Macaca fascicularis: one gene and its partner. The main gene of each other region encodes a partner of the protein of the gene in region 2 in a complex. Links are inferred from orthologs where the notes say so. Each region holds a gene or a part of one and is shown on either strand. Other genes may lie near its edges.

What was found. The genes of interacting proteins can lie anywhere in the genome.
Region 1: the proteins of MEP1A (region 2) and FETUB are in contact, whole or in part, in a cryo-EM structure (PDB 7UAI), measured with the Homo sapiens proteins. The link is inferred for Macaca fascicularis from reciprocal best matches to the Homo sapiens genes MEP1A and FETUB. Residues at the interface, in NP_005579.2 of Homo sapiens: Asp126, Gly127, Cys128, Trp129, Ser130, Glu131, Val132, Gln145, Gly146, Cys147, Tyr149, Ile152, His155, Glu156, His159, Tyr164, His165, Gln167, Ser168, Leu184, Gly186, Tyr187, His189, Asn190, Asp192, Tyr194, Tyr214, Gln215, Phe217, Ser218; in NP_001362516.1 of Homo sapiens: Phe109, Phe110, Lys144, Lys145, Tyr148, Met149, Thr150, Cys151, Pro152, Asp153, Cys154, Pro155, Ser156, Ser157, Ile158, Ser196, Ser197, Gln198, Trp199, Val200, Val201, Gly202, Tyr205, Phe206, Thr242, His245, Trp246, Phe249, Val250, Ser251.

The regions. Positions count from the first base shown.
Region 1 is NC_088376.1:98,580,852-98,591,204, reverse strand, and holds the start of FETUB (fetuin-B), read right to left. Parts: upstream 6,575-10,353; 5' UTR 6,412-6,574; intron 5,350-6,411; exon of another isoform or gene 5,141-5,349; intron 3,172-5,140; exon of another isoform or gene 3,125-3,171; intron 1-3,124. UniProt on the Homo sapiens protein: Protease inhibitor required for egg fertilization.
Region 2 is NC_088378.1:124,792,295-124,802,601, forward strand, and holds the start of MEP1A (meprin A subunit alpha), read right to left. Parts: upstream 5,204-10,307; 5' UTR 5,194-5,203; coding exon 5,125-5,193; intron 5,039-5,124; coding exon 5,014-5,038; intron 4,924-5,013; coding exon 4,873-4,923; intron 364-4,872; coding exon 323-363; intron 1-322.

The DNA of each region.
Region 1 (10,353 bases), on a different chromosome or scaffold from region 2:
ATAAAAACATCAATAATTTTTTTTAAAGTATATGGGGGCAGCATGATTTATAATCTTTTGGGTATATACCCAGTAATGGGATGGCTGGGTCAAATGGTATCTCTAGTTCTAGATTCTTGAGGAATCATCACGCTGTCTTCCACAATGGTTGAACTGGTTTACAGTCCCACCAACAGTGTAAAAGTGTTCCTATTTTTCCACATCCTCTCCAGCACCTGTGGTTTCCTGACTGTTTAACGATCGCCATTCTAATATGTAACAAACCTGCATATTGTGCACATATACCATAGAACTTAAAGTATAATAAATGAAAAAAGAAAAAGAAAAAACAAAAGTATATGGGGGCTGGGCACAGTGGCTCACACCTATAATCCCAGCACATTAGGAGGCCGAGGCAAGAGGATTGCTTGAGCCCAGGAGTTTGAGACCAGCCTGGGAAATATAGGGAGACCCCATCTCTACAACAATTTTAAGATTACCAGATGTGGTGGCCTGTGCCTGTGGTCCCAACTACTCGGGAGGCTGAGGTTAGAGGACCGCTTAAATCCAGGAGGCAGAGGTTACAGTGAGCCAAGATCATACCTCTCTATGCTGGATGATAGAGCGAGACTCTGTCTCAACAACAAAATAAGTATATGGGGACAGCCAAAATTGAATGGAACAAGGAGGAGGTATGTTCAATGGTGATCTCGTTAAATCCTATTGAAGGAAGGTATATCTAGTAATAATTAAAAGTGAATTTTAAATATGAGTAAAAGAAACAATTACTCAAAATTTCCAATACTCTGCTCAGAGTATTTCTTTAATTTTGACTTTTGGAATCATGTTAGTATTTTATATATTTAAAACAAAATCAGTGAACAAAGATAGGGGAATGGAAACTAAAAGACAAACAGAAACAAATGAGCCTAAATGTGTTTCAAATGAATACTAGACACAATGAAAGGGGAAAAAAGAAAACTGATCCAAGTAACTTTTGTACACAATTCTTTGATTACGGTCGCCCTCCATATTTGTAAGTTCTACATCCTTGGATTCAACCAATGAAAACACTTAAAAAAAACAAAAAACAATATAACAATACAAATAATTAAAAAGCAATATAGTGTAACAACTACTTATATAGCATTCACGTTGTATTGGATATTACAAGTAATCTAGAGATGATTTAAAGTGTATGGAAGGATGTCATAAGTTATATGCAAATACTATGCCATATTATATAAGGGACTTGAGCATTCCCGGATTTTGTTATCCTTTGGGGTCCTGGAACCAATCCCCCACAGATACCAAGGGACAATTGTATATATCATCAGTCTGAACAACAACAATAACAAAAAGAAATGGAAACAAGTCTTGGAATCTACTTAGTAGGTTTGTTTTTCCACAGTGGAATGGGTGTAGCAATTCCTAAAACTATTTATGTGTATCATAATCTTGAGCAAATTAATATTGTTGTTTGAAAACCAGGATTCTCACTGTGAGAGAGAGTGACAATGAGAGAAGACAAGAAACTCTGGAATCTTGGATTGGTGCTAGAGGTAGCAGAATGAAACCATAATTTTACATGAACCCATATGAAATTATTGTTCTTTCCAACTTTGTCCCCTGAGAAGGCCTAGAAGCGAGAATATTCCAGTACCAATAAGCCCACTTACTATCAGAACTTGGTTTCTAAATCTGATTCCCCATGAAAAGCAACCAAATCTCCTTGAAGAAATGACTGATTCCAGGAAAAGGGAGAGTATAAGTTGATCCTGTGCAGAAGGTGAGGAAGGACTCAAAGAATGATAAGTCCATGTAAAAAGAAACCACTTGAAGAGAATCCATTGTGAAATCTAGGACAATCGGAGCATCATAACAAATAATGATAGTAGTGAATTACAATCCACTGAACAAAATAGCAAACTATGGGTCCATACCGATACCAACAGAATAAGAAAGAAGGAAAACGGCCCGGGCGCGGTGGCTCACGCCTGTAATCCCAGCACTTTGGGAGGCCGAGGCAGGCGGATCACAAGGTCAAGAGATTGAGACCATCCTGGCTAACATGGTGAAACTCTGTCTCTACTAAAAATACAAATAATTAGCCGGACCTGGCCGTGGGCGCCTGTAATCCCAGCTACTTGGGAGGCTGAGGCAGGAGAATTGCTTAAACCCAGGAGGCAGAGGTTGCAGTGAGTCAAGATCATGCCACTGCACTCCAGCCTGGGCAACAGAGCAAGACTCCATCTCAAAAAAAAAAAAAAAAAGATAAACTGTTTGCTTATGATAAAATGCCAATTGCAAAATATAGAAGAGATTACAGTTAGAAAATCACCATTATTTTGCAATCATCATTGTAATAACAAATTCAGGCAAGAATCATCAATGTATGTTAAAACTACGGAGTAAAAATTTGAAATGGGAGAGGTTATCTACATAGTCTCTGAGTACCTCCCCACAGATTACTTAATAACTGTAAAGGGAGAAATTATAATTATATACCAAAGGAACCTGGAAGACATCACTTTAACCAAATAATCAAAATCAACATCACCAGTAACAAGCCAGACAGATACCATGTGTTTCCTGATGCGATGCACTGAGAAGGACACAACATCACTTTTATGGTATTCCAGAGGGGACAGGTAACCTACACTCATCATGAGGAAAGATGAGACAGACCCAGTCGAAGGGCATTCTGCAAGACAACTAGCTTGTACTCTTCCAAAATGTCAATTCATGAGAGAGAAAGCCTCAAGAAATGTTCTAGATTAAAGGAGACTAAAGAGACTACGTAACTAAATGCAACATGCGATCAGTTTGATCCTGGATTGGATCTTGAGATAAGAAGGAAAAATTCCTCTAAAGAACACCATTGGGACAGTTGGCAGATTTTGTAAATGCAATGGAAATTATGTAATAATGTATACATGTTAAATTCTGTGAGTTTGATAACTATGCAGTGATTATGTAAGAGAAAGTTAGACCCTGAGATATTTAGGGATAAAGAGAAAAGTGTATATCTGCAACTCATCAAAGAATCATAAAGTGTTAGAGGTTGAAGGGTCCTTAGAGAGTCAGTAGACCATATCCTACTTTCTTGAAATGATGTAACCAAAATCTGGAGAAAATGAATTACCTGCCTAAGACCACACATCCAGCCAGGAGTTGAGCCCAAGACTCTCTGGCCAGGTGTTTACAGTGAGTGCATGATATTGGTTATTCTTGTTCATCATGGGTCAATACTCAGACAAATATATTGTTATCCATTAACTACAAGCCAATATACACCCCCGCAGCTTTGACCTAGCTTCTGCTAATGCAAAGGTCCCTGGCCTCTGGTGGGCTTACATCAGAGGACAATGACCCTGGGAACTGATTTATTTTCACCTTTCTCAGTGCTGACCATGGTCTCAAAGGTAGGTGCTCTCAGGAGAGCCCTCCGCTGTGTGCTGTGGTGGAAAGGGCTGGAGCTTGTAGTTGGGTAGACCTGCTAGATGAGATCTGTTACTAGCTGTGTGACTTCAGGCACAGCTACCATTTATTTTATCTGACACTCAGTTTTCTCATCAGTAAAAATGGCGACAACATGCATATTTACGAGACTAAATGAGATCATGTATGTGATATACGCCCAGCCAACAGTAAATCTTAGTAATTGGTCATTGTTTTCTTCTTTCTTTTGCTCCAAAAGTATTTATGACTATGAATGGAGCTGGGTGGAGGGCTTAGAGAATTCACTACAAGTTATTTAAACTTTTTTTCTCATTAGAAGAATATTACCAAAGTGATATGCACCTTATAGAAAAATAAAAAGCAAATAAAAAGACAAAAATATTTGACCACACTGTTAATAGCTGACGGATGTCCTTCCAGACTTTCCTCTATGCATATATCACATGCATTTTTATACAAAAATACTGTATTAGTACACTTACTATATGGTAACTTGCTTTTAAAATCCAACAATAGCCACGCGCGGTGGCTCACGCCTGTAATCCCAGCACTTTGGGAGGCTGAGGTGGGCAGATCACAAGGTCAGGAGATCGAGACCATCCTGGCTAATATGGTGAAACTCCGTCTATATTAAAATTACAAAAAAATTAGCCAGGTGTGGTGGTGGGCGCCTGTAGTTCCAGCTACTTGGGAGGCTGAGGCAGGAGAATGGCGTGAACCCAGGAGGCGGAGTTTGCAGTGAGCTAAGAATAGCGCCACTGCACTCCAGCCTGGGCTGCAGAGTGAGACTCCGTCTCAAAAAAATAAATAAATAAATAAAATACAACAATAGATCCTGAGCATCTTGACATATGAAATAATCCACTTCTGCAATTTAATTTTTAATTATTACACAATAGTCTGTTGACAGGTGAGTCAGTTCTTCAAGCCAACTGTCTTTGATAGACAGGTCGATTGTTTCCAATTCTCTGCTATTACAAACAATGTTGCAATTAACATTCTTGTGGGTAGATCTTTGTTCATATCCCTAATTATTTGCTTAGTACAAATGCCTAAAAATTGAATTACTGGGTCAAGGGCAATTCTTACTGTTAAAACTTCTGATATAATTTGCCATCTTAGGCCTGGCACAATGGTTCATGCTAGTGCTTTGGGAGCCCAAAGTGGGTGGATCACTTAAGGCCAGGAGTTTAAGACCAGCCTGGGCACCACAGCAAGACCTCATTTCTATAAATAACGTTTTAAAAATGAGCTGGGCTTGAAGGCATGTATCTCTGGTCCCAGCTACTCAGAGGCTGCGGCGGTAGGATCACTTGAGAACAGGAGTTTGAGCACTTAGTGAGCTATCATTGCGCCACTGCACTCCAGCCTGGGTGATGGAGCAAGACTGTGTCTCAAAAAAAAAATTAATTAATAATTGTAATAATTTGCCATATTGCTCTCCAGAAATACTATAACAATAGCATTCACACCGGCAGTGGATAAAGCATTAGGAAATGATCTTCATTTGAATGTTCCAAGCACAGTAAACAAAAACTTATCTTGAAAGGGTAGAAAGGCCAGGAGAGGTGGCTCACGCCTGTAATCCCAGCACTTTGGGAGACTGAGGTGGGCGGAGTTTGAGACCAGTCTGGCCAATATGGTGAAACTACGTCCCTACTAAAAATACAAAAATTAGCCGTGTGTGGTGGCGCATGCCTGTAGTCCCAGCTACTCAGTAGGCTAAGGCAGGAGAATCACTTGAACCCAGGAGGCAGAGATTGCAGGGAGCCGAGATGGTGCCACTGCCCTCCAGCCTGGGCGACAGAGTGAGTGTCTGTTTAAAAAAAAAAAAAAAAGTGCAGAGAGAGGCTGTGAAGCTTGACTTTCTGGGCTTCTCCATGGACCGGTGGATCAGGAGTTTAGGGGGTAAGAAAAAAGTTCCTTCATTCAAGTAATGTCGTAAGTTCTTCTCCAGTGAGTGAAGTAACTGCTCTGTGATAGGCACTGTGCTAGATGTTGGGGATAAAAATTTAAAAAGCTAGCTGGGCACAGTGGCTCATGCTTGTATTCCCAGCACTTTGTGGTGCTGAGTTGGGAGGATTGTTCGAACCCAGGAGTTTGAGTTCAACCTGGGCAAAATAGCAAGACCTCATCTCTTAAAAAAAAAAATTAAAAATTGGCCAGGCATGATGGCATGCACCTGTAGACCTAGCTACTCAGGAGGTTTAGGCAGAAGTATCACTTGAGCCCAGGATGTCAAGGCTGAAGTGGGCCATGATTGTGCCACTGCACTCCAGCCTGGTGACAGAGTGATACCTTGTCTCAAAAAGATAATAAATAAATAAATAAGTGCCTATTTTTCAATCCTCTGCATTGTAACAATTGAAGAATCATTTGCTTGAGTGTGAGATAACAGATATCACAGGGCTGCCAAGGACCTATCAGTGATGACAGGGAGGACAGCCTCTCTGATGAGAACAGGGTAACACTCTTTGAAATGAAATCTCATGTGACATTTGAGATATCTGGCTTGTAGTGTAAAATTTGTGACAATTCTTGCTGTCTATGTGCTTTAGGAGGTAACAACAAAATTGCTCAAGTGCTCTTTTCTCATTAATTTTAAGTAAACCAGGCCCCAAATATTATGGGTAAATTTTTTTCTACTGTAATTGAGATTATATGTGTGTGCTTGTGTGTGTGTGTGTGTGTGTGTGTGTGTGTGTGTGTGTATGTGTGTGTGAGAGAGAGAGAGAGAAAAAACTAGAAAGTGGAAGGGAAGAGGTGAGAAGAGGCATGGTGAGGTAATGACAAGATATAAGGCCGGAGTAGTAGTCAGGCAAAAGCCTGAGAGTCTTCGGTGCTGTAGTGATTAGAATAGCATACTAAAAGTACTGGGGAATCACTGCAGTTTTTAAGAACTAGATTCTCAGAAAGATTATTCCAAGTAGCAGCAATGAAAGGACCCCAGCTTCTCCAGGATACCCTTACCAGCAAGGCCATAGGCAACCAAAACAGACGTGGGTGAGGGTCCATCCTTGTAGGGTCTCAGCTCATGCTTGCGGGTTCCAATCTGCTGTCAATTCCCCCTACTTCATATCCATCTTCTCTTTCTGAACACCTGCCCTGTGGACTTCAGGCTCCAGCATCAGATACAGAGACAGCCTTACAGGGACTCTTTATCCAGCCCCCACAATTGCATAATCCAGTTCCCTACAATACCTCCCTGGTTATGCTAAACCTGGTTGAACCCTGAGTGATACAGTTGTGAATGAGAAAAGCCTGTGAGGAGACACTGCTGAAGAGGTGGAAGTGACAGTGGGAACAGAGAGGAAGGACTGGATCTGAGATATGATGAGGATTTAGGAAATCAAGACCTGGTGACTCACAAAATATGGCAGCAAGAAAGGGTGAGGGATCAAGAATGACTCCAGAGTTTTCAGGTTATTTGACCGAGTCAAAGAGTTGAGCTACCATTACAGGAATAGAGCAGATTTGGAAGGGGGAGGGGATGGGGACCTGAGTTTGAGGCTGTTAAATTTGAAGAATCTGAGCGATCTCTAAGTGGAGTCTCATAATATGTGTTGGATGTACGGACTCAAGGCTTAAAGGGGATAAGCAAGATCATCATTAGCCAGAGGTGGAGGCTAAAATCTTGGGAGTGGGTGAGCTCATTCTGGGAGAGCAGGTAAGGCAATGAGATGAGAATGAGGTGGAGCTCTGAGAAAACTAATATTTAAGGAGGAAGCAGAGGAAGATGAGCTAAAAGAAAAAGGGTCTGAGATTGAAAGGCTGCAGAGGAGAAAGACAGGCTCCATAGGCCAGGAAGGACTGCATTCAAAAACGAAAGGCATGGTCAGAGGGTCAGATGCCACGGAGAGCTTGAATATAAAGGGCTAAACGTGTATCCATTTGATCCAGAAGTTCCCCCGTGATCTTTGTTGGTAGTAGTTTCAGAGGAGGGGTGGCAATAGAAGCCAGATTACTGTGGAAAAAAACAAAAAAACAAAAAAACGAATAGGAGTTCAGGAAGTGGAGACAAGCAAGTATAGACCATTGCTTATAAAAGCTTCTTTATAAATGGAAGGAAAGCAAACATTAAAAAGAAGAATACAAGGTTGAGGAAAGACCTTTAAAAGAATAAATAGAAGGCCAGGCACAGTGGCTCACGCCTGTAATCCCAGCATTTTCGGAGGCCAAGGCAGGCAGATCATTTGAGATCAGAAGTTGAAGACTAGCCTGGCCAAAATGGCTAAACCCCATCTCTAATAAAAATACAAAAAAAAAAAAAAAAAACAACCCACAAAAATTAGCTGGACGTGCTGGTGCACACCTGTAATCCCAGTTACTTGGGAGGCTGAGATAGAAGAATCGCTTGAACCCAGGAGACAGAGGTTGCAGTGAGCTAAGATGACACCACTGCACTCCAGCCTGGGCGACAGAGTGAGACTCTGCCTCAAAATAAAAAATAAGCCGGGCGCAGTGGCTCACGCCTGTAATCCTAGCACTTTGGGAGGCTGAGGTGGGTGGATTGACTGAGCTCAGGAGTTCAAGACCAGCCTGGGCAACATGGTGAAACCCCATTTCTACTAAAATACAAAAAACTAGCTGGGCGTGGTGGTGCATGCCTGTAAGTCCAGCCACTAGGGAGGCTGAGGCAGGAGAATCATTTGAACCCAGGAGGTGGAGGTTGCAGTGAGCCGAGATCGCGCCATTGCACTCCAACCTGGGCGACAGAGTGAGACTCTCAAAAAATAAAATAAAAAATATATTTTTTTGGGATAGAATCTAGATAGAATAAACTGAATTTACAAGAGTGGATAAGATTACCAATGGGAGCATATAAAGTGAGAAAAATAAAGGTGAAAATCTCAGGAACCCCAACATTTTAGAAGCAACTGGAGGAGATGGAGGCAGAAAGAGCTCCAAGTAGGAGGCAGGCAATAACGTCAAACGCTGCAGAGAGACCAAATAGCATAAGAAGGAAAAACAAACCACTGGGTCAATGGTTTTGACAATAAGAAGGTCAACAATGATGTTTTCCAGAATAATCTTACTACACTGTGTGAATATAATGTATTGAGATGTGATGAAGAGATAATAAGTTATCTCTTAATAACTAAGACAGTTATAAGTCAGTATTTTTGGGAGAGAGAAATGATAAGGCCAAGTGATAGCAAAGGTTCAGTGAGATGGGCATACTCGGATTTTGGAAGTGTAGATTTGCAAAATCTGTTTGTAAAGCACTTCGACAATACATGTCAAGAGTTGCAAGATATTCACATTATTTTGGAGTATTAGTTCTATTTTTGAGACTCTACCTTTGAAAGTATTCACACATATAGGAAAGCTTTTATGCATAATAATATTTATTGATATGCCATTTACAACCATTAAAAAGTGTCCATCTAAATGTCCAACAACAGGAGAATGGTTAAGTAAACTTCCATTTATGTAACAGTGAAAAGGGGGCTTAACATGACTAACTCCATTTTTCTCCCAATCTCCCTGCAACTACCCCCAAAATGGTATCTTTTAGGTTAATTACTTTTGCTTATCTTTGCACATAGGCCAACCTAACTATGGGAGGCATTTAGTTTGCAGTTTAACTGTTTTTTTTTTTTTTTTTGAAACTGAATTTTGCTCTTGTCGCCCTGGCTGGAGTGCAGTGGTGTGATCTCGGTTCACTGCAACCTCCGCCTCCCGGGTTCAAGTTATTTTCCTGCCTCAGCCTTCCAAGTAACTGGGATTACAGGCACCTGCCACCACCCCCAGCTAATTTTTGAGTTTTCAGTAGAGACGGGGGGGTTTCACCATGTTGGCCAGGCTGGTCTCGAACTCCTGGCCTCAGGTGATCCACCTGCCTCAGCTTCCCAAAGTGCTGGGATTACAGGCCTGAGCCACCATGCCCAGCCTGAAGTTTAAAGCAAGGATGATAATAGTCTCCTCCCAAAACTAACTCCCAAGGAGAAAAGAAGGGTGTACACACAAGTAACAATGTTGCATTAAAGATTTATAAGAGCATTGTGACCTGGTCAAGGACAAAGAAGTTTCACCTCCTCAGACCCTTGCTGCCGCCCAGGTGCCTGTGGTCATTGGTTATTTCTTTACCTCAACTGCCTCTCTTTTCTCCCTTACCCTAACATAAAAGGAGCTTGAAATGCATATTAACTTAAGATGGCTTTTTAAGACGTGAGTCTGCCCATCTTCTCAGTTTGCTGAGAAGAATAAAGAAAGAATAAATATTGCTCTAAGAATAAAGTTGTTTTCCTTGCCCCAGTGCCTTGTCTCTTGACTTACTGGCTGTGGTGCAGAAAGTGGTACCAGCTTGAATTTGTCTACATTTGATGGATACCAATTAGCCATCACAAATGACGCCATGATGTTTAGTGATACAGAAAATGTTTATGTTATAATGTTAAGTTGCAAAGCAGACAGACAATTGAAACTACACTGCCGTGACACAGCGCTGTGTTTTTTAAAGCAGCCCTGTTCAGCGGTGCAGGTGGGAGGCAGAAGGAAGGTAATGCAATGCAGGAAAATGTTAATGGTGTTTGCATTTGAGACATGGGATTGTGCGAGGCATTTATTTTCATTCCTTCAACTTCTCGGAGTTTTCCATCATTTTTTAAGTAAATATGTAGCATTTAGAAATTTTTAGAAATAAATGTTTTTTAAAAGGAGGCTTGGTAGTAAAACAAAAGGGGAAATAGGGAAATGGCTTGAGAGGAACATAGAATCAGAGGATAGTGATCTTTTAGCATGGGTGTCATCTGAGAGTGTGGTCAGAGGAAAGGGTGACGCTGGTGTAGGTGGGAGGGATGCTGGGAAGGGTGAAGTGGTCAGGGAAGGCGAGGGTGGGAGGAGTAACCAACGTAACAGAGGAGAAAGATACTTCCTCTGAGCCGGAGAGACGGAGGTGAGAGTGGGTGA
Region 2 (10,307 bases):
GAAAGCAATAGAAGTCCCTTGAGAGATAATTTGGAAAAATCAGAGAAATTATTAAGAACAAAATAAAGGGGGCCTGCAATCCCAGGAAAATTGGATAGATAAGCCATCTAATTATTTTAGACTCTTTTGTGCTGTTTACTTATTTTCCCTCTGTTTTCGTCCTTACCGGCTATAGTGGAACTCCTCACTGGAACAGATTATAGATGAGATTTCTGTTATCTCCTTCACAGTGCCCATCCCAGGGCTGGCGACAGAGCAGAGACTGACACCCAATGGTACTGTCTGTCCTGAGGAACTTACTGCATCTTTGACAGGTACTCACCTGCAAGAGGATGTCCCCTTGAAAGAGGTCCAAGCCTGCAGCTGGAAATGGAATTTTTTTTAAAAAAAGAATATTTGAGTGAACATTATTAAAAGGCATCTTCCATAATAAAATTAATCTTTGCCATTATAAATCTTTGAATATTAGTCTTTACGTGGCAAAACTTTTTGAAACAATGCAAAAATTCCAGTTGAGCAAATGTGAATGGCCAATGAGTATCACATATTGTCATAGCCTCTGTTTTCAATTTTGAAACAATAAATCTTGTCTAAGAATCTTAAAAGTAAGAGATAAGTTAGAAGGGATTTTATTGATCACTGACTATAAAAAAGGGATTTGAGGCAGCACTGATAAGGAGGATGAAAAATATTGAGAGAATGGCTGGGGGTGGTGGCTCACGCCTGTAATCCCAGCACTTTGGGAGGCCAAGGTGGGCGGATCACCCGAAGTCCGGAGTTTGAGACCAGCCTGGCCAATGTGGTGAAACCCCTTCTCTACTAAAAGTACAAAAATTAGCTGAGCTTGGTGGTGCACACCTGTAGTCCCAGCTACTGAGGACGCTAAGGCAGGAGAATTGCTCAAACCTAGGAGGTGGAGGTTGCAGTGAGCCATGATCGCGCCACTGCACTCCAGCCTGGATGACAGAGCCAGACTCCATCCCAAAAAAGAAAAGAAAAATATTGAGAGACATGGAGAAAAAAATAGAGTCCAGCGACATGAAGTGATGTACTACGTAATCCAGGGGCCAAGAGAGCATCAAAACTCCGGCCTTCCCATTCAGGGCTCTTTCTGCCCCCGTACCATTCTGCCTCTTGTCCCAGTGTAGATGAATGTATTCTGCTCTTCCCCATGAAAACACGATGATACCCTCCAAAACCAAGCTCAAGGTGCTGCCCACGTCATAAGGAAGACCAGAGGATTGTGGACAGATCCATTCAAAACCATACCTCCAAACATCTGTTCTCAGGTGCTTAGCAGAATACATTCTCCCACTGCTGGTATTGCTTAATCCTGGCCTCATCCTGTTTCAGTAAGCAAGATTCTTAAAAGGGAAGATCTTTGTGGGAAAATTTCTCAAGCATTAAAAGAGCATCACTTATCATAACTCTCATGTGACAAGCAACATTTTCTGTAAAATGCAACGACTTCAGACAGAATCACTGGATTGTACTTCATTCTGAGGACAGCCCTGATTTACAGGCCGGGAAACCAAAGCAGAGATTAATTACCACAGTCTCATGAGCCAACAGAGGCCCCATTTGGCAAAGCCCATGGTTCATTCAGGAACCAGCTCCATTTAGGCATAGGACACCAAGGAGGTGTTACGTATTAGCAGGCATCATGATTTCACTTGCCAGTGACTAACTAGGGCTATCCCTGCATCATTCCCTTCCTCATGCACACATTTGCTAGATTGCTTAACCTCCTTAGCCCTGACCTATTCCTATGCTAGCAGTGCAATTAAACAACCACAAACAGTAATGACATCACCGTACCACTGTCAGTAGGACCCAGATTTGAATAATCTTTTAAATAAAGGGACTTTGTTCTGGTCCATCTATTCTTTCATTGAGAATAGTTCTACTATTTGTTTGTCCTGAGCAAAAATCTGTATTTCCTGACACCTGGCCTGGATTATAATGGAATTGAGGGAGCTCTTCCAAAGTGAAGTGAACGAGCCCACTCAGACTTTGGCCCCAGTGGTCAGACAGAATGGATGGGGTCATGGGGGGCAGGGAGAACTTCCCAAAGAAGTGCACATCCAGTGAAAGCAAGCCTCAATCTATTCATTACCCAATTTGTTCATGTGGTGCGCACTTATTAAATGCCTAATGTGTCTGAAGCATTTTTCTAGATGCTGGGACATAGCAGAGAATAAAACAAAGTCCTTAAGGAGATGACACTCTTGATTGGGGGAAGAGGGAGACATACAAATAAACAAATAACTGTAAAGTATGACAAATGGTGGAAAGTACAATAAAAAAGAAACAAACAAAAGGTAAGGTGGGAAAGAGTGCTGAGGTGAGATAGGTTAGCTATTTTATTAAAGAGTGGTCAGGGAGGGCCCCCCAGAGGAAGTGGCATTTTAGCAGAAATATGATAGAGTAAGGGAATGAAGGAAATGTGGTGGAGGTAAAGGCAACACCAGATAGAAAGGTCCTGTGGCAGGAAAGCCTTGATGTCTTAGGTCAGTGGTCCTAAACTTGAGCATCAGAGTCCCCTGGAAGGCTTGGTCAACACAGGCTGATGAGCCCCCACCCTTGGATTTCTGGTTCATTAAGTCTGGGGCGAGGCCTAAGGATGTTCATTCCTGAGAAGTTTACTGATGCTGCTGGCTGAGGGACAACACATTGAAAATCACTTCCTTAGAGGAGTAGCTGTGCAGTCAGGGTGGCTGGAGAGCTCAAGTGGGAAGAGGAAGAGTAGTCACAAATCCTGTTTCAGCAGATCGACTCACACTCTAATGTGCATAGAAACCGCTTGGGTCTGTCAAATTGGAGATGCTAATTCGGTAGGTCTGGGGTGGATCCTCAAATGCGGCCTTTCCAAGAGAAAGCTCTTGAGTGACACAAGTCATTTTGGCCTGTGGAACACACTTTGGGAATCAAGGCTCTAAGGCCTTTACTTTGTGTTGGAGGAGAAGTCATTAGAAGGTTGGAGCAGAGAAATGACATGATCTGAAGGATAATAAAGGAAGAGTTCTATGTTGTGCAGAATAGTCTGTAGGGACCAAAGGCAGAAAGGAAGCACAGTTATAAGGACCAGTTCGGATATGAGGTGGCTGACCAAGGTGGGGACAGTAAAAGTGCTGAAAAGTCTCAACTGTGGTATGATTTGAAAGTAGATCTAGGCCGGGCACGGTGGCTCATGCCTGTAATTCCAGCACTTTGGGAGGATGAGGTGGGCAGATCACAAGGTCATGAGTTCAAGACCAGCCTGACCAACATAGAAACCCTGTCTCTACCAAAAATACAACAATTAGCCTTGCATGGTGGTGGACACCTGTAATTCCAGCTGCTTGGGAGGCTGAGGCGGGAGAATCACTTGAACCCGGGAGGTGGAGGTTGCAGTGTGCTGAGATTGTGCCACTGCACTCCAGCCTAGGTAACAGAGCAAGACTCCATATCTTGGGAAAAAAGAAAGAAAGAAGAGAAGAGAAGAGAAGAGAAGAGAAGAGAAGGAAGGAAGGAAGGAAGGAAGGAAGGAAGGAAGGAAGGAAGGAAGGAAGGAAGGAAGGAAGGAAGGAAGGAAGGGAGGGAGGATCAAGTAGATCTAATAGCATCTGCTGACAGATTTTGCATAAGGTATGACAGAAAGACAAGAGTTAGGGGCAACTCTAAGATTCTGAGCCTAAAATCTAGAAGGAGTGAGTTACATTTACTGAAATGAAAAGGACTGAGAGGAGCAGGTCTTGGGGTGGAGGATAAGAAATGTTAAGTCAGCCTTGTGAGGCAAAAAGAAGATGGTGAAAGGTGGCAATTTTCTCTATATGATTTTCACCATCAATTTACAGGGTTAGAATCTGGCCATATGGCTAACCCAATCAATCCTGGTGGTTTGGTTGAAATGGCCTAAAAAAAAGATTACATGGTAATGAGATTTCTTCACTGGGGTCAAAGTTCAGAGGTGGTGGTAGGCCTGAAGAGTACAAAATGGCAAAGAGGTAAAGAATTAATTTTTATTAGATAGATAAGGATGAGATTAGAAAAACTCTAAAAATTCAAATCCCAGCCCAGTTGTAAAATAACATCAGATTCTCTGAACTGTTTACACAGTGTCTGACTCTAAAAAGAGATATTTTAGTGCCTGGCTCTGAAGTCTTGGGACTCATTCATGCATTCACCCATTTACCTTCCTAAACTATTTCTGCTCTGCCTATGCAGCCATTCTCCAGCTATTCCAATTAAATATCAACTAACTGGCTTCTCTGTGAGTGAGAGAACGCCAGAAAAATTGACCCATAGGTATAGGTATTTTCATTTTGTAGTCTTCAGATAGCACTGAGCTATTAAGGTACAGGCTGCAAGATCTGGAAGTGAGCCCCGTCACTGCTACCTATAATCCTGAGCAGGTCACTCTAACCATGAGAAGCCACTTGCTCCTCCCCCCAAAAAATGAAAACAGCACTTACTCCACAACAAGACTGGACAAATAAAAATATCATGGCCAGTGGAGGGGTTGGGTTTTGTTTCCCCACTAAATATAACCAGAGGCTTATTCTTATATTTTTCTTTAACTATCAGAATAATTATCTATTTGCTTTCCTTTTCTTCCAAATACAAATTGCAAAAATAAATTTTTTATAAAGAGAAACGTGTTATGTATCTAGATCCATTGAGGACTCCCTAGCTCTCCTAGAATGTCTGGTCTAATTGTCTTCTCTTTCCACATTTTTATCTTTCAGAAAATGCAATTTCTCACAAAGCATCAATAAATATTTCTCCCCCAAAGAATCACAATACAGTATTATGAAGGAAAGTGCTTTTCAGTAATCCCATCACTGGGTTTTAAGTAATTTAAATACTTTAGTATGCAAAAATTGACCTCACCTAAATTGATTTCTGAAATATCCTTCTGTTCACCAAAGTCTGCATCATGTACTGTTAAAAGTGAGGGAAAAAAAATATTATTAGCCTTGCTGAACGAAAAAAGTTCAAAAACACTCTCTGTGCATTTGAACTAATTCTTACCATTTTCTTTAGGAAGATACTTAATCTGAAAAAAAAATAAATATACAGAAAATGGATAACGTATACTAGAATTAATATTTCTAAATATCCAAAAAGCAGGACTCTACTTACCGATACAGCTGCTATGTGGGCAAAAAACAAGGTAAAGGAGAGAATGCATGTGGATCTAGTCCAAGCCATTGCTGCGAGTGAGCTGATTTTAGCAGACACCTTGTCATAAATACCTTTTAGACTTTACCCTGACGGTTGTATTAGAAACTTTGACCCTTCCATATGTACCGTAGTGCTAAAAAAGGTAGTCAAAGATAACAGCATTGACTCTTTCGAGGACAGACACTAAGTTTACCTTAAATGCTTAAGCTTCAGAGACTGGGGAAAAGTTTGAAAAACTAATACTGAAATGAGCATATAAGAAGTAATAACATTCCTATAGGGCAGCAATAGTGATTCATATAATATAACAGAAGATCCTCTTAACAATAAAAACAAAAATAAAAATTTATTATTAAGTATTTAATTCAAATAAAATATAAATTCAAATTTTATGGAAATGTTATAAAGCAATTATTGAAGGACATAAAAAATCCTGACTCTCTCTCTATATATACATATATATGAAATATTAATAGATTATTTCAATATTAATCTATAAATTCATTTTCATTCTAGTAAAAAATCTAACAGGGTTTTCAGTGGAATTTGTCAAGCTGACAAATGGTTCAGTTCACATGAAAGAGTAAACCTTGAGGAATATATAAGAAAATTCTGAAAAGGATGAATAAAGAGAAAAGAATCGCCCTAAAAGAATATCAAGAACTTTTGTAAAATTACAGTAATTAGAGTGTAATAGTTCCAAAAATAAAGACAATGAATCTATAGCCTGGAATAGGTAATATCCAAATAGATGCAAACACATGTGGGGCTTTTGTGTATGAGAGGAACCAAACAGTCAAGAGGGAAACCCTGGTCTCTTTCATAATAATATTGGAATAATTGCATTTCCATATGAGGAAAAACATTAAATGTTCATCTGACACCATTCACAAAAACAAATTCTAGATAGATTAAAAATGTAAATATGAAAATATAAACTTTGAAAAAGAAAATATAGGAACATATTTTTAACCTTGAGTTCAAGAAAGATTGCTTGAACATGAAAAAAACATAGAAATTATAGGGGAAAAGAATAATACATTTGACTATATCAAAATTTAAACTTCTTCATGATAAAAACATAACATGATTAAAAGATAAGCCACAGATGAGAGATGATATGTATAGTGCATATAATTGAATAAGTATTCAGGATATGTAAAGCATTTCTACAAATCAATAACAAGAAAAAGAGATTATCTAAGGAAATAATGAACAAACAATATGAGTAGCTAATTCACAAAAAACCCAGATGGCCGATATACATGTAAAAAGGTTTTTAGCCTAATAAGTATTCAGAAAATATATAAATTCAAATAGCAGTAAAATACTCACCTCAAGCTAAGATTGGCATAAATTAAGAAGACTGACAATATCAAGTGTCAACAAGAAGGTAAGAAAATAGGAAATCTAGTAGGACATCAATTTGATGCTATCTAATGAAGTTGAAATGTGCACAGTTCATAGGATAGAAACACCACTCCTAGGTCTATATGCTAAAGGAACTCACACATATGTGCACAAAATTCCACAGAATATATTCACTGAAGGTTTTTTGTGTTATAGTAAAGAATGGGGAAAATGTGTTTATACTGAAAGAAAAGATAAATTATGGAATATATTCAGTCATGCACAGGTAAATTAGCAATTGGCTCTTTTAAAAAAAGTAAAAACAAACAAGCAAACAAACAAAACCAAGCCTTTATTTGTAGTGTTTGTTGATTTCCATGGTCAATTTCAAGCTACCAACATCATGTCACTGAATGCAGCGTTGGGAAGAGATGTACACAGTGGGCTCCATCTGCCCCAGCACAATACTAAATATATGCACACACCCACCTATTCTTGCCTGCACCAGGTATGAGAATCTTTGGTATTAGAGCAATCTTCAAGGTCTAGAGCCTGCATCTCTCTACCTCAGACTTACTACTGGGCAGGTGGGCTAGTCCTGCTATCAAAAAAGCATTTCCTGTCACAAAAGACTTTTAGAAGGTTAACAGTAGAGCTTCTTGAGCTGTAAAATAGGAGGCATGTCAACTGGGGGCCTGCTTCTGATGGGCAGAAGAGGTCTATGGCTGATTTTTGTTTTACCTAAGCCACTGATGGTGAGCTGATAAAAGGCCATCTTCCACTGTCTCTAACCACTACAAGCCACTAATATTACCTTTTTAAATGAAACAAAACAAAACAAAACAAAAAACCAAATTTGCTCAACAGCTGCAATGACTTAAGTGAGCAACTACAATCCATACCATTTAAAAATTGGGCAATAATCAAATTTTAAAATTGGGCAACATCATAAGAATAATTGGCTTTAAGTATCAGGGTGGAAAACATGGGACTTTTATTTCTTAAATGTGTTGTTTAATTTTTCTCAAATTCTGAAGCAATTATGGTAAAATTGAATATTTGTTAATCTTGGAAGCCAGGAAGTAAGAGTTTGTTATTTTCTAAAGAAACAGGCAGTGCTGTTGCTTTGGTACACCTCTCTACTAAATCTCAGGTATTAGGATTTCAAACAGGCAATAGTGAAGCTGCTTAATTCTCTCCACCTTCTCTTGCTTCCAGCCAGATGTGTTTTTATCTTTCCCTGCCTTCTTAAACTTATCTGAATGATATACTACAACAATGGCTTTGGGATTAGATAGGCAGGAATTCCACCTCTACCATTGACTAGCTATGGCAATTTTAGCATCTACTTTCTATGTGTAGAATGGATAGTGGTGCCTACTTCATGGTGCCAATGTAAAAGTTCAATGAGATAACATATGTAAACCACAGCTACTAGAAACATAGAAAGCACTCAATAAACTGCTCTTTCTACCTACTAGTTAGCAACTGCCTCCTAGCAAAACATGGGTAATAAAAACAGCTCAGTTCACTCCTTGCTCAGTGGAATCTCCAGTGGTGAGAACATAGGTCTTCAGCAGACACAACCTGCCCCCGATTATTTTATGGTCACAATCTTAATGGCAGGTGTTAATTAGTTACCAGCTATTTGCAATCCTAGTCACTTCTTCATTGTGTCAGGGTATCAGATGAGTAAGGCTGGGGCCTTAAGTCCTTCATTTGAAGGGTTTATGGCTTTTCAGTTTAAAGAAGATTATGCACTCTGAGGTCAAGGTCCATGCTTTATTTCCTGTATCTGCCCCAGTGTTTGGAAACATAGTAGGTAATAAGTTATCATTTTAACTGAAAAACAGTAAATAGAATTTTCTCTGAAGGTATTGGATGGGGTGACTTGCTTTGATCTCAGGCAGGGCATTTTATAAACTAACCAGTTGAGAAAGTGGTCTGAAGCTTGGAGGAAGAAAGTCATTAACAGGTAGAAAATGGAAAAACCCTCCCCCAGCTATTTCCACACACTCTCCAGCTTCATAAAAGTTCAGGTCAGGAGTTGGGCTAAGAGACTTGCAAAGTCCTCTCACCCCAACCCTTTCTCAAGGATGTTCTCTGCCCTCTTTCTACTCTATTGCAGGATGCCAATTCCTTCTGCTTCACTCGCAGAGTTCTGCCTTCAACCAGCTGTCTGCTAACCTGAAACACAACAGTCCTTGTTGTTCTTCCCAGGGCAATCAACATATTAACAGGGGCCCAAAGGTGTATAGAGCAAGAGTTGGCAAATTTGTCTGCAAAGGGCAAAAAGAATATATGTCAAGCATTGTAGGCCGTATGAGCCCTGTTGTAGCTATGTAACTCTCCTGTTGTATGTAGCACAAAGTAGCTGTGGACAATAACGTAAAGGTGTGAATATGGCTGTGTTCCCATAAAACTTCATTCACAAAAACAAAGCAAAGGGTCATAGTTTGCTGACCCCTGGGTTTTAAAGAATAACCTTCAAGATGGTGGAAATTGAGATGGTGATAATAATTATAAAAGAAGCAGTAGCAGCAACCAACACGTACATAGTACTTACTGTGGGCCAGGCAGCTTTCCAAGTATCTAAGGGTAATTACCCGTTCAATCCTCACAACAATCCTACGAAGAAGGCACTATTATTATCTCCATTTTACATATTAAGAAACTGAGATGAAGAAAAATTAAGAAACCTTCTCAAGGTCATGCAGATCCTGAACAATCTTCCTAAATTCCACCTGAGAGGCAGTTCTGTACACCTGTGACTGGCCCTTGACAACCCAGGAGTGAGGCCTCTACCATCATGCTGTGGCATGCAGATCCCTGGTTTCACGTGGTTCCACCTCCAATAGTTTACTAAGAAGACTGAACCCTGAGGGAAACAGTGCCCAAGCTATAGATTCCTTCAAAATCCTCTGGATGGCTTGTTGAAGTACAAACTTCTTGGTTTGGAATTTGGAAATCCTGACATATGTCAAATGGTGAGCTCCAGGGATCTGCATTTTTAATAAGCACCCTTGTGACTCTGATGCAGGTAGTCTGTGGAACACACTTTGATGAACAGGACACTGTGGAATTTGCATCAGTCAGATGCTTCCACTCTCACTGTGGTTATTGAATAGCTTTCCTGTGATTCTCTTTTTATAAGAAAACCAAAAGATCATAGAACCTTCAGTTTCCTAGTAGGGAATATATAGATGTTAAGAATTAGAGAGATCATCCACACAGAAGTCCGCTTCAGAAGGCCTCCGGGAAACAGCCCCTGTGTGCTGTTGTGGTTTGAGGACCTGCATTTTCAACAAGCTTGGGGGTTATTTCTACTTCTATTTGCATGCCGACCTTGGCAGGCAACTGTGTTTTGGAGTGTGTACAGACACCAATCCCAGTGACTGGAGAGGCAAGGGGGACTTCTTACTCAGCTGGGCACTGAGGACCCTAATAAGCCACTCTTTAGGGCCAGGTGGGCATTCAGTGGGTTTGGTTTCAGTATTTTCCCTTTTTATAGAACCCAAAGAACACACTGTTATCTTTCTCTTATCACATAAGGAAGAATCAGACAAGCAGCTTACTTTATGTTTTCCCAATTCTCTTTCTACTTATCGAACCCTCATAAAGTATTTAAACTGAAGCCAACTCAGCTGTGAGCTACAAGGTTTTCCCCTGATTTCAGGAAAAGTCTCCAGCCTCTGCTAATTAGAGGGATTATCACTGCTCACGTGGCCTAGTTGGACTGTGACATCTGGGAGAGAATACTTAACACGTGGGAAGAGTGAAGGGAAGACACA